Drosophila melanogaster: one gene and its partner. Changing the gene in region 2 together with the main gene of any one other region gives a genetic interaction. Each region holds a gene or a part of one and is shown on either strand. Other genes may lie near its edges.

Region 1 (5,730 bases), on a different chromosome or scaffold from region 2:
CCAATAATTTTGGGTCCAAACGAAAGGTACACAGTAGGATTTGCAAGTAATAGATTATATATTTATCAAACTAAGAAGTTGAATAAAAAATATTTATATTTATTTCTTTGAATCATATTTTACACTGTTTTTTTTTTTTTTTTTTGATTCGTTATATACGAAATAAATTTAAAAAAAAATTATGCATCGGCCGGGAATCGAACCCGGGCCGCCCGCGTGGCAGGCGAGCATTCTACCACTGAACCACCGATGCTCTTGCTGCATTTCAAACAAAGCACTATGATGGATACTACACGACTGGAACCAACAACCTGTTGGTGTTGGGGGATTCCTGTCACTTAGTAGCCTCCATTTCAGTAGACTCCGTGGCGCAACGGTAGCGCGTCCGACTCCAGATCGGAAGGTTGCGTGTTCAAATCACGTCGGGGTCATTCGAGAAAGCTCCTGTTGTTTTTGGGATATTTCTTTTTTTATACATTTTATAAAAAATCCTTCATTTTAACGTTATTTAAATACATAATTTATTGTATAATTAATAAGCAGCTTTGACTCACTACAAGCAACGTCATTTACATAATGAGCATATAATTTTAACATTTAAAATCTTCCAATATACTTTGGTCCCTGTCGAGGAACATTATGAATGCAACTCTTTATATAGGTTAACATACATACATAACTATAGATCTGATTAATTTGATGTGAACTGTTTATAAATTGTAAATTCCCTAAACAATTTGCCGTGATTTATTATCAGTTGTTCCCTTATTGCACAATGCATTAATCGTATGTATACGTTGTAAAAATTATCGTTCAAGTGCCATAAAACTGCATATAAAATTGAACATAAAACTACCCAACACCGGTATTCAAATCTCGTCCTCTTCGAATCTCGCTTCTCATTACATTCATCTATCTAAAAAACGTATTTTGCTAACAAAATTTTTCAACAATTTTTACACAAATCAACAAGGAAAATGGCTGCGCAATCATTGCACTAACTAAATGAAATCAATCCTAAAAACATAAACTAATGGACCCTGTGTTTCGTTTCATTTTTGTTTGTTTGTATATAAGCGCCTCCAAAAATATTGTAGGGGTTTAGTTGGTCTCGGATTTCAGTAGCGTCCTCTAGTGCCCACTCTATTTGCTATTGACTAAGTTCAGGAATTCCTCACGGGTCTTGGGATCGTCTCGGAACACGCCCAGCATAGTTGAGGTAACAGTTTTGCTGTTGATCTTCTGCACGCCACGCATCACCATGCACATGTGGCTGTATAGGAGGAAAGCCATTCGTTAAACTATAATATTCTTTAAAATATATATGTATATATATTTAATACTTACACTCCCTCTACGACCACTGCTACTCCAGCGGGTTGCACGGCCTGAGTCACGGCCACTGCGATCTGCTTAGTTAAGCGCTCCTGGACTTGCAGGCGACGCGAAAATATTTCGACAATGCTATGGGATCGCAAATTATATGAAAGATCATCTAATATGCATTACTAAGTTTATCTTACCGTGCCAATTTACTGAGTCCGAGAATCTTGTTGCACGGCAAATAACCGATGGAAACTTTGCCGTAGAAGGGCACCAGATGATGCTCGCACATGGAGAACATTTCAATATCCTTGACCACCACCATTTCGTCATGATCCTCGTCGAAAACGGCGCCATTGAGAACATCTATTAAAAAAAATTTGAAATGGTGTAGTAAAAAAAAAGTACGAAAAAGGAATTCATCATCGCCTGACCCCGACGTGATTTGAACACGCAACCTTCCGATCTGGAGTCGGACGCGCTACCGTTGCGCCACGGAGTCGTTATTGAAAAGTTCGCCCAATGTCCCACAACCACGAAGCTACTCAAGTGGCGTTCCTTCGCTACCCGTGATTTATGGCGCGCGTAATTCGTGTTAGATTTATTTGCTGCATAACTGAATACTGAATGTTAAGTTCAAGCGACTGTGAGTGCTAAAGTGGTTGCTTAGCGAGTGTTTGTGTGTGTGTGTGCGTGTGTGAGGTTGCGGGTCTTGGGGGGAGGTTGACTTGACTTGACTTGACTGGATGGGCTTATGGTTCTTGTGGAGTGTGAGCTTTCGCCACACTCGTTTTAAACGATGTGCTCTTGAGATTCCCATTCCTTGAATAGAAGCCGCCGCCGCACCGCACACCCACCCACTTTACCGCTCTTAATATACAGACCGGAAAGCTTCAGTGCGTTTCCTGACCAACCAGCGAAGAAGCCAAGAAGTAGCCAAGTAGCCAGTGAGCCATCTAACAAACAATCCAACAAGCATCTTGTGTGTGTGGTGGGGAGGGGGGTGGAGTTCCCCCAACACCAGATTGGCAAGTCACGTTGGCTCGGCTTCTTGGGTTCTTTGAATTCGGGTTAAACACAATCCAACCCATTCTATTGCCGATGCCGAAGGCTATTCACTTTCGTTCAACGAATTTAGCTTTCAAATGGCCTGCTGCTGTTGCTGTTGATCTTAAATTTACATGCGATTTTATTTGACAAACCGTAGAACCTGATTTCTCGGGCAACCGGTTAGGTATGCTGGTGTAGCAACCATATAATTCGCAATTCTGTTTTGTTTCTCAAACGACTCACATTGATTACATGACAAGTTCAAAAGCGACTGCAAGTCGAAATGCACGCCAAACATGAGACCAAAAACTTTACTAGTCAAATCTCATATTTCATAGGATATTGAATGGATTTTGGATGCGTCCACTTGATTGGACAAGCCCGAAATTGCCTAATGGCTCCCTATGTTCATGTGCTTTATCTCTCGAGTGGTCAGGTAATTAGGCTAATGCACCATAGCGGACCGAGGAACCCCCGTAAATGGTGATTCACCGACATGAAACTAGTTCCCACTCGCTGGGAAAACCAGGATGAGCAACTTCGATCACTGACCCGGTGCTAATTGCTTGAAATGTGTGGTGTGCTTACCCTCGAGACTCTGGTCGTAGCCCTTGGTGAAGTACAGCATGGCCTTGGCTGCCCGCTCCGGCGTCTTGATCAGTCCCTGGCGATCGGGATTCTCGCCCAGGCCGCCCAAGAGTAGACGATACGAGCGTGCCATGTCCGGAAGGAGGGCCTCTCGCGTCGGCGGCTTGTGGTCCAGCTCCAGGTCGTGGTGGAACGTGCACTTCTCGTGGCCTGTAAATGGAAATACGGATGGAAACATGATGAGAATCGTTATCATGCGAGATAGGAAGGCATTGCCCCCCTTCGTTGGCTGTGTGTGGCTGTCTAAGTACTATTCCCCATTCCGAGGCGCATCTTCTGACCTCTGAACCGAAACACTAACCCACTGATAGGCGTACGGTTTATGCTCAAAAAGAGTTTGTCAAGCACTCCTCCTCCTCCTAGTTCATTGACTAACTAAATCGGTCGCAGCAAACATAGCTCTGGATCCCCTGACCTGGTCCTGGACCACTACCCACCACTACCTGGCGTTGTCGATGTACGCGGTGTCAGTGGTGTTTTCGGTTGTGTACCATCACTATCCGGACTGCTGCCGTTGGTCTTCAGGATGAGGCGGGGTCTCTGGTTGCCGGCCAACGGGACGAGAGCAGGAGCTGGCGCCACCTCCTCGACGGGTGTGCCCGCAATGGCAGTGGCCTCCTCCGCCTGGTTCTGCTGCCTGTCCGCCAGCGAGGAGGTGCCCGAGGTGCTACTTGTTGAGCAGACGCTGTTGTTGCGTCCGCGCGAAAGGATGTGGGCCTGCGGGAAGTTGGTGTCGTCGATGGCATCGTTCAGCTCGCTGGCACTCATCTCGGACAGTTGGCGGGTAAAGCTCATGGCGGTGCGGCTACTCAGGTTTGTTTGCCACTCGAATGGAACTCAATTTGACGGCTAGCACACAATCTTTTTTCCTCGATGATTTTCTCACTGCTATCTGTCTCTTTTTGCGCTGCTGTCTGCCGGACTTTGTCTTCGCGTGTTGGCGCTTCGGGTGGCTCTGCTCTTCTGGTGGCTGCTGTGGCCAGCGGTGGCAATAAGAACCTCTCGAGCGGAGCTTTGAGCGGCGGAAAGCTCCAATCAATAGCCAACAGACCATCCAACGGGCAAGCTCTGCTCCGAGTTTCGCTTGCCGGAGATTAAGTGAGCGGAACTAAACCGAGCTGAGCGCAGGCCCACGGTTTGGCATCCAGTGGCTGTAAAACCGCGCACGAACTTGTTGCTCGGCCAGGAGGCGATAGAACTACAGCACTAGCCACGAAAATAGTGCCATCAAATGTTAAAAACTAGCTTTGGGTGGTAGGTCAATTTACTTGTTAGGAAAGTAAAGCTACCTTATTGGGATAAGTGTAGCGTTTACCCTTAATATATATTATTAAATAGAGTGTACCAAGCTTTTGCCCTCAAACGTGCACTTTATCCTTGGCGCCAACTTAATCTCAACTATTGTTTGCATATCCTTGAAACCCACTCAACTTGGGGCCAGACGTCAAGTTGTAGTTCATTTAAACATTCCACTCGAAACGAGCTACTCCCCCAAATTCGAACCCCCTTCCAACCATCCGCCCCTCCATTCATCTTGGAGAACCAAAGTCATGGCGCACCGCCTCCAGCTCCGTAGCGATGACTTCGACGTTATCGGCGCCGTGCCCCGCAATCTGTCCGTGATCAAGAACTTCCTGAAGCGGGACTGTGCCATCAAGAAACTGATCGACATCGAGGAAGAGTTCCTGCAGGAATGCGTATTGCGCGGCCAGGATCCCATGAATCCGAAGGGTAAACGTGACAGTGACAGTGGGCCACATGGTAGTGGTTTGGGATCCAATGTGCCCGAACCCAAGCCGGATCCATGTGCTACCAAGACACCGGAGAACACATTGGCCTCCGACTACTGTGATCCCTGTCGCCGACTCAAGACCTCCGTGGTTCTCGAAGAGGTGAGTGATCTGTACATTCAATGTGCTTCAGTGATTTAGATGTTACTCCACTCATCTATCAGCTAACCAAGCCGGCCATCACAAATCCGGCTTTCAACAAATCCCTGCCGCCGTACTTCGATGAAGAGAGCGTGATGGGCAACTCGTTGCCCGTGAAGTTCCGTTTCCGGCGCAAGTTCAACAAGTGCGACCAGGAGAAGGCCGGCAACCTGATGTGCACCAACACGCCGAGCACCAATGTGGTCGTGTTGACCAACTGTTGCGACGTGATGGTCTGGCCCAGTCAACGGGTGGCCCAGATGAACCGGGTGCCGGTGACCATGCTGTCGGGCGAAGCCGATCTCACGGAGTACATGCTGGAGGAGGAGACCATTATGTGAGGGAATGGTTGGATGGGTGCAGCTTTTTGGCACATAACGCCGATCAATAAAGCATTAACCCCACTTAGAAGTGTCCTCATTTTGTGCGGGAAACCCTGCATCCCACATGTGGGGCTTCAATTGAAAGTAGCTAGTCTCTCCAGCTGGCCAAATTTGATTATTCTCTGCATATATTCGGAATCTTATTTGCATGCAAAGTATTCGTGGTTTATCGCGAGCACTTTTCTTGTTTATGGCATGGAGTTGAAGGTTATTCTTTATATATGTATATACATATATATGTCCTGAGAAATAGATTTTGGTGGGTTTGTAAAAAAGTACAAACCACAAGGAATGTAAAGCACATTAAAACCTTCCACCGCTGCTTAGGGTCGAATAAATCAGTTGGGAATAGCACAGGCTGGTTTAGTTTACATAAGTATAAGACAGCTGCAGAT
Region 2 (6,324 bases):
TCTTGCTCCAGCTCGGAACTCAGTTCCTGCTCATCGCTGTTGTTCACTCTCTCCTGGGGTGTCGTATTCAGGTTGGCAAAGCTGAAGTCACTCGTGTTGCCATCCGAGGAGAGGTAGCCTATGGAACTGCTGTCCTTATCCTTGTCCTTCTCCCTTTCCTTGGGTGTCTTTGGCGATTTGGGACTTTGGTCGAATTCGAAGCTGCTACTGGTATGCAAATTGTAGTTCAGCGGTGTGATCTGCGGCGTATCTGGCGTTTGCTGCTGGTTGTATCCCTCCCAGCTGGAATGATTCGTCTGATTGACCAGATCTTCTTTGCGATGTGCGAAACCCAGACGGCAGATAAACGATATGGCCTGCTTAACGCTATCCAGTTCCAGTTGCAGCATCTGTGCCAACTCGGCAATGGTCATGTGCTCATCCGCGCTAACGAAGATCTTGTACAGCAGATTCTCAAAGTAGTCCCCGCTCACACGATTCATCACAAAGTTGCGCAGCGGCGGTATGGATATCCTGTCCTCCCCGCTAATGGGCACATCTAAGTAGATCAAACCCTTCCGGTACAGGCTGTGCACCACGTCGTGATCGCATTTCCCAGCCGGCTGGGCTCCAAAGTCAATCAAGTCATCGAGCAGGCCTCTTTCAGCGGGCGACAGATAGCGAATATCCGCTTCCAGGACATAGCCAATGTCCAGTCGCCACCAGGGCTCGATGTGTATGCGCACCGGAAAGCGTGGCAGGAAGTCCAGCGGATTGGGCCGCGACCCGAAGATCAAGGAGCGCGGTGTGTGAGTTTTCATATCGCTAATAAGGGCCAGGTACTCGTTGCGGCCAATGCCCAAGACACGCAGACAGTCGGCTGCTGTAAAGTTGGGCAAAGTATCGTAGCTTTTGTCGCTTTGCAAAAGCTGACCCAAAACATCCAGATAGTAGTTGAAGGGCGTCACCCTCAAGCCCTTGGTGACGATATCGGCCAGGTGGTAGGGAAATGCGCCCAATCCATTGATGCTCTTCTGTATCAATAGCTCGTAGTAGCGTTGCTCCCGGCGAAACACCTTGGCGGCCAGGTTGCCCCGGAACCTCAGCTGATTCTTTAGACTATAGTTAAAGACGAACTTCTCGTAGTCACGCTGATTGTTGTGCAGAACCGATCGCAGGTGCACGGGCAGCAGTTCCCAGGTGACATTCCCACGCACACATTGCTGCAGTTGGTTTTGGCAATTGGTTCCAGAGCCAGTGGTCGCATTGCCACCTCCGCTGGTGGCCAAATCCTCTTGCTCCGTCATCTTGCGACTCGGATTGGTTTCTCCGGCTGGTCGGACTAACTCATTGCATTCGCTCCGGCTACGGAATCCAGTATTTTCTTCCTGCGTATTATTTTTCTTTTTTTTTCGAGGAACGATAGATCCGATAATACGGACACGGTGTTATTGGTTTCATACGTCGACAGCTGATAAGACCGCCGGTGTTTTGCAGCACTGGCGAGCAACCAGTTTTTCGATAGTTCGATTATTATTAGTATTAGTCATAATATCCCTTGGAGTTTCACAATCACGTTTAAAAGTGCAAACATCCAACGGACGTCTATCGGCAGTGACTAACAATACTGTCCGATAAAGAATGTGCCTATCGGTGTGCTGTCGATATCACTAGTTCATCGATAGCACATCGTTTAGAATGATTTTCAATATTCGTTGCTGCCTGCTTCATTCATAAACACTTACGCTATTACAGTCAAAATTGTCAAAACGTTGACGAATTATCGAGCTTTAAAGGATTGCTATCAGATTGCAAGGAAGTCGGCGTTCAGCGCTCGACGAGCGGGCAACAGAGGCAACGGCAGCGGCTGAGTAGCTTCAGCATAAGAATTTTAGGTAGCCGCGACACAAAAAAGGGACATCAACATCGATTTTTTTTTGCTCCCATTTCGTTTTGTGAGTGGAGCAAAATCACTTTCGACAAACAAAGAAAGGGGCGGCGGCGGTGGGGGCGTAAAGTGCGCAGATTTCAGCGAAGATGAACGGTGGCGGGGGTGGCGAGGATGATCAGCATCTGCCAGGTGTTTCCAGGTGAATAACTTCAGCTACTTACGTTGTGGCATATTAAATCTGATTTTCTTTGCCCCCCATCAGTGCATCAGGATCTGCAGCTGGAGCGGTGGGCGGGCGAGCCACGCCCGAAATGAAGCGTTCGGCGGTGCGCAGCCTAATCAAGCGATACTTCCACCAACTACAATCCGGCTGTGGGAACGCCAACTGCAGCAATGCCAATTGCGCCTCCAGCGGCAAGGTGGCGCCCATGACGCCCAACGAGGTGGCCGCCAGAGCACTGCAGCTCTTTTCACAGGATGCACAGCTCTGCGAGGCGTTCACATCGGAGGCCAACAGGTGAGAATTCTCTTAACAAATGGAACTGGGTAGCAAAGTTTCCAGAGCACCGATAAGATTTTCTATAGGTAATTATCTTTCAATTAAATTTTTTCCCATTTTAGCCCCCAGGACGTGGACATGCTTTCGCCGAACGACAGTAGCAGTAGTAGCAGCGGCAGCTCGACAAGCACAATTACCTCAGCCAGTACCACCACGACAACCAGCAGACAATCGCAGTCAACGCCAGCTGCCGTTGTAGTGCCCGTATCCAGTCCATATCTTACCCAGAGTGTGCCGCAACTGGATATCGCCGGCGCTGAACACTCCTCCGGCGACTCGGAACCGTGTACACCCACCCTGGCGCCAGTCCACAGCTTGGATGCCAACAGTCTGATAGCGCTCTATGAGCAATGTAGGGCGGCTGACAGTTACGACAGGATTTGCCACGCAATCGGCGTTGTGTTCTCCAGCGTAGATAGACTGGGCAAGAGCTTCATTCGCAGCGCAGAACCAGCGGCTTCTAGTAGTCTCCAGGAGCTGCTGGCCAATTCACCGGGGGCTTTAAACAAGGAGCAGCTACGAACTTTGGAAGGGGAACACGATAAAGACGAAGACAGTACACAACAGGTGGACGAACAATCAGAATCGGCGGCTAATGCTACTGCTACTGCAGAATCAGTCGAATCAGAGGCGGAGCCCGAAGAAGAGGACGATGATGTGTGTTCATCCCAAAGCAGCGACACACTGGTGGATCTGCCCGGTTTGCGACGAGTGCAGCGTCTCCTTTTTGGCTGTCAAATACGAGCTATAACGGAGAAGCTTACCAGCAGCGTTATTCAGCTGTCTGACTGGGTGATTTACATGCGTACGGATTGGGAGAGGGTCATTCACTGTCTGGTCATCTGCTTTGATCTAGCCACCAATAGTGAGTTTTTCAATTGTATGCCTGGAATGTTTCAAGTTACAGCTTTTCTCATAACCCTTTAGCCAATAACAGTGTGGTGGACATGGACTATCTGGACAGGGTGCTGCCAAAATTGTGCCAAGCGGCGTCGGCCATGCCAGTGCCGGCACAGGCGCGCCTGGCCAGGATCTGGGCTGCTCATTGTTCAGATCAGCTGCATTCGTTGATCGCAGCCTGCCAGCAGCAAATTACTCTACAGGTGCTTTTGGACGAGGAATCCATGCGCGAGAACGAATCCATAATCAGTGTCACCAAAGTTTTAAAGGTATTTGTTAGGTTTATTATGCAATATGGCTTGTAATGCAGTTGGGTTAACTTCTTCTGTGATAGATTGTCTTCTACGCGAACATTCTGGCTAGCGAGCTGGAGCGACCGTCGTGTCGGGTGCCGCTGGAGGATCGAACGGAAGCGGCGACCGCATCTGGCAGCGCAGCAGTGGAGGACGACCTATTCGTCTACAACTCTTTGTTGGAGCCGCACATGCCCAAATTCGCCGAGGATCAGTTTGAAAAGGAGCTGCAGGTGTCGGCAATCGATTGCCGGAAACCACTGATACCACTTGAGGAGTTCTACAACGAGGCACTCAGTGAAAACATTCAGATGCACCACGACTACCTGTCCTACAAGACGTTAGCCATGGAGAGCGAGATTGGTTCCGGCCACGCGAACTATTTTTCGTTCATGCTGTACGCCTTTATCCTCACGCCGTCAACAAAAGTGGATGCCTTGTACTATGACAGTCGAATGAGGATGTATAGCGAGCGCTACTCCTCCCTTCACTCCATCCTCAACAATATTGGCCAGGTAGGACAGGAAGATAATCCTCGGCCGGATCTTAAGCTGACGGTGCGAAGGGACCAGCTCATCAACGACGCACTTATTGGGGTGTGTACAAATGGTTCTTTAGTGTCCTAGTTAACAGGCGTAATTAATACACGTTTAATTCCCCAGCTGGAAATGGTGGCCATGAGCAATCCAAAGGATCTCAAGAAGCAGTTGGTGGTGGAGTTTGTCGGCGAGCAGGGGATCGATGAAGGCGGCGTATCCAAAGAGTTCTTCCAGCTAATCGTGGAGGAGATATTTAACCCGGCTTTTGGAATGTTTATACAGCAAGAGGAGACCAACAATATGTGGTGGGTATTCAATTGGGATAAATCTGTTCAGTTGAACTATATAAATATATATATATACATATGCAGGTTCAATGCCACACCATTTGAGAACGGAGCGCAATTCACTCTGATTGGTATAATTATTGGCCTGGCGATCTATAACAACGTCACCCTGGCCGTAAACTTCCCCATGGTGGTCTATCGCAAGTTGATAGGCTATTGCGGCACGTTCGCAGACCTCAGCGACTGGAGTCCGGCGCTGTACAAGAGTCTGAAGTCCATGCTGGACTATCAGGGCCAGGATATGGAGGAGGTATTCGAACAGACCTTCAAGATTAGCTATAGCGATGTTTTCGGTGATGTGGTACAACACGAACTGGTGCCGAACGGCCAGGATGTACTGGTGGGGCAGCACAACAAGGAACTGTTTGTCAACCTGTACAGTGATTTCCTGCTTAACACGAATATCGAACAGCAGTTCAATGCTTTCCGCAAGGGCTTCGAAATGGTTACGGACGAATCGCCACTGAAGCTGCTCTTCCGTCCAGAGGAGATTGAAATGCTGGTCTGCGGCAGTCGTGTGAGTAGCTAAATTCAAATTACGAAATTCATTCGGTTGCTGAACTCTGAAACCTTCGGCAGGAATTCGACTTTGTGGAACTGGAAAACTCCACTGTGTACGAGGGCGGCTACACGGAGAAGAGCCAGTACATCCAGGACTTCTGGAGCATAGTGCATGCGATGCCCAGCGAGGACAAGCACAAGCTGCTCGAATTCACGACGGGATCGGCGCGTGTTCCGGTTGGCGGCCTGAAATGCCTGCGTCTGCTAATCACGCGTCACGGTCCGGATAGCGATCGGTTGCCTACCTCGCACACCTGCTTCAACGTTCTCCTCCTGCCCGAGTACAGCAGCCGCGAGAAGCTGGAGGAGCGCCTGATGAAGGCCATCAACTACTCGAAGGGCTTCGGCATGCTGTAGACTATGGTCCAAACTGCAAGTGCAAGTCTGTCATCTGGAACTGATACCACCACCTCTCTGGGAAGAAGATTTCGAAGACTTTGATCGGTTTGAGTTCGTTTTGGGTTCTGCCATTTATTTTTGATACGACCTGTTCAATGAGACAATATATACATACCCAATATATGTGCTCAATTTATATGGTGCGACGGCGAAGCGAGCAGACCGAACGGACACGCGATTTTGTTTCCCTTCTTTAGCCCAGTTAATTGTACATAAACACACACATAAACACGCCACATACTACATTATGTGAACTTACCCTAGGAACAACACCCACATTTAAAAACAGTACGCGCTGAATATTTTCCTAAATAAATTTAAAGTAGTTCGGCGAAGAAACAGATGTATTTTCCATTTAGATTGGTTTTCGCAAGTATGGAATATTTTTTAATATTAGATATTTTTAATTTAAACTAAGATTACTAACAAATTAAAATTGTGGAAAAAGATTCATTTAAATTATATTTACATATTTAATTTAGTATAGAAACATCAAATACAAAACATTTTGTAAGCAATATTTCACACTAGCTGACATTTAAATTTCGGTGTGAAGTACTTTTTATTTTTTAACTTAAAAAATAACTTGTTAACTTTATTTTTTATTTAGTCTAGACACATTTAAAAAAAAAAGAGGTGTGAAAGCCTTATTTCACAACAGCTGACTTGGGACTAGTGGATTTTTTAGGCCCTTTTTTTCAGGCGATATTTTCTAACGGCTTAGCCGCAGCCACACATTTGTTATTCGCGTTTCTGAGTTTCTTGCGGGTGGGACTCCCGATATTTTGTGGAGCGGAAGGTGTTTTGATTTCCTTAGCATTTAGCACAAAAAAATGCAACTAGTATAAAGTACTGT

The links.
Region 1: of Ube3a (region 2) and Pu, changing one enhances a phenotype caused by changing the other (phenotypic enhancement), as found in Drosophila melanogaster (one study listed by BioGRID).

Annotation. Positions count from the first base shown.
Region 1 is NT_033778.4:21,177,379-21,183,108, reverse strand, and holds Pu (punch), read right to left. Parts: upstream 3,992-5,730; 5' UTR 3,817-3,991; coding exon 3,465-3,816; intron 3,172-3,464; coding exon 2,962-3,171; intron 1,826-2,961; exon of another isoform or gene 1,754-1,825; intron 1,690-1,753; coding exon 1,524-1,689; intron 1,465-1,523; coding exon 1,348-1,464; intron 1,274-1,347; coding exon 1,144-1,273; 3' UTR 501-1,143; downstream 1-500. Other genes in the region: CG4286 (uncharacterized protein), read left to right, coding at 4,572-4,913, 4,976-5,293. UniProt on the Drosophila melanogaster protein: Isoform B is required for eye pigment production, Isoform C may be required for normal embryonic development and segment pattern formation.
Region 2 is NT_037436.4:11,205,899-11,212,222, reverse strand, and holds Ube3a (ubiquitin protein ligase E3A), read left to right. Parts: upstream 1-1,639; 5' UTR 1,640-2,016; coding exon 2,017-2,069; intron 2,070-2,132; coding exon 2,133-2,387; intron 2,388-2,491; coding exon 2,492-3,294; intron 3,295-3,356; coding exon 3,357-3,598; intron 3,599-3,663; coding exon 3,664-4,218; intron 4,219-4,284; coding exon 4,285-4,466; intron 4,467-4,532; coding exon 4,533-5,025; intron 5,026-5,087; coding exon 5,088-5,426; 3' UTR 5,427-5,801; downstream 5,802-6,324. Other genes in the region: CG7600 (uncharacterized protein), read right to left, coding at 1-1,286.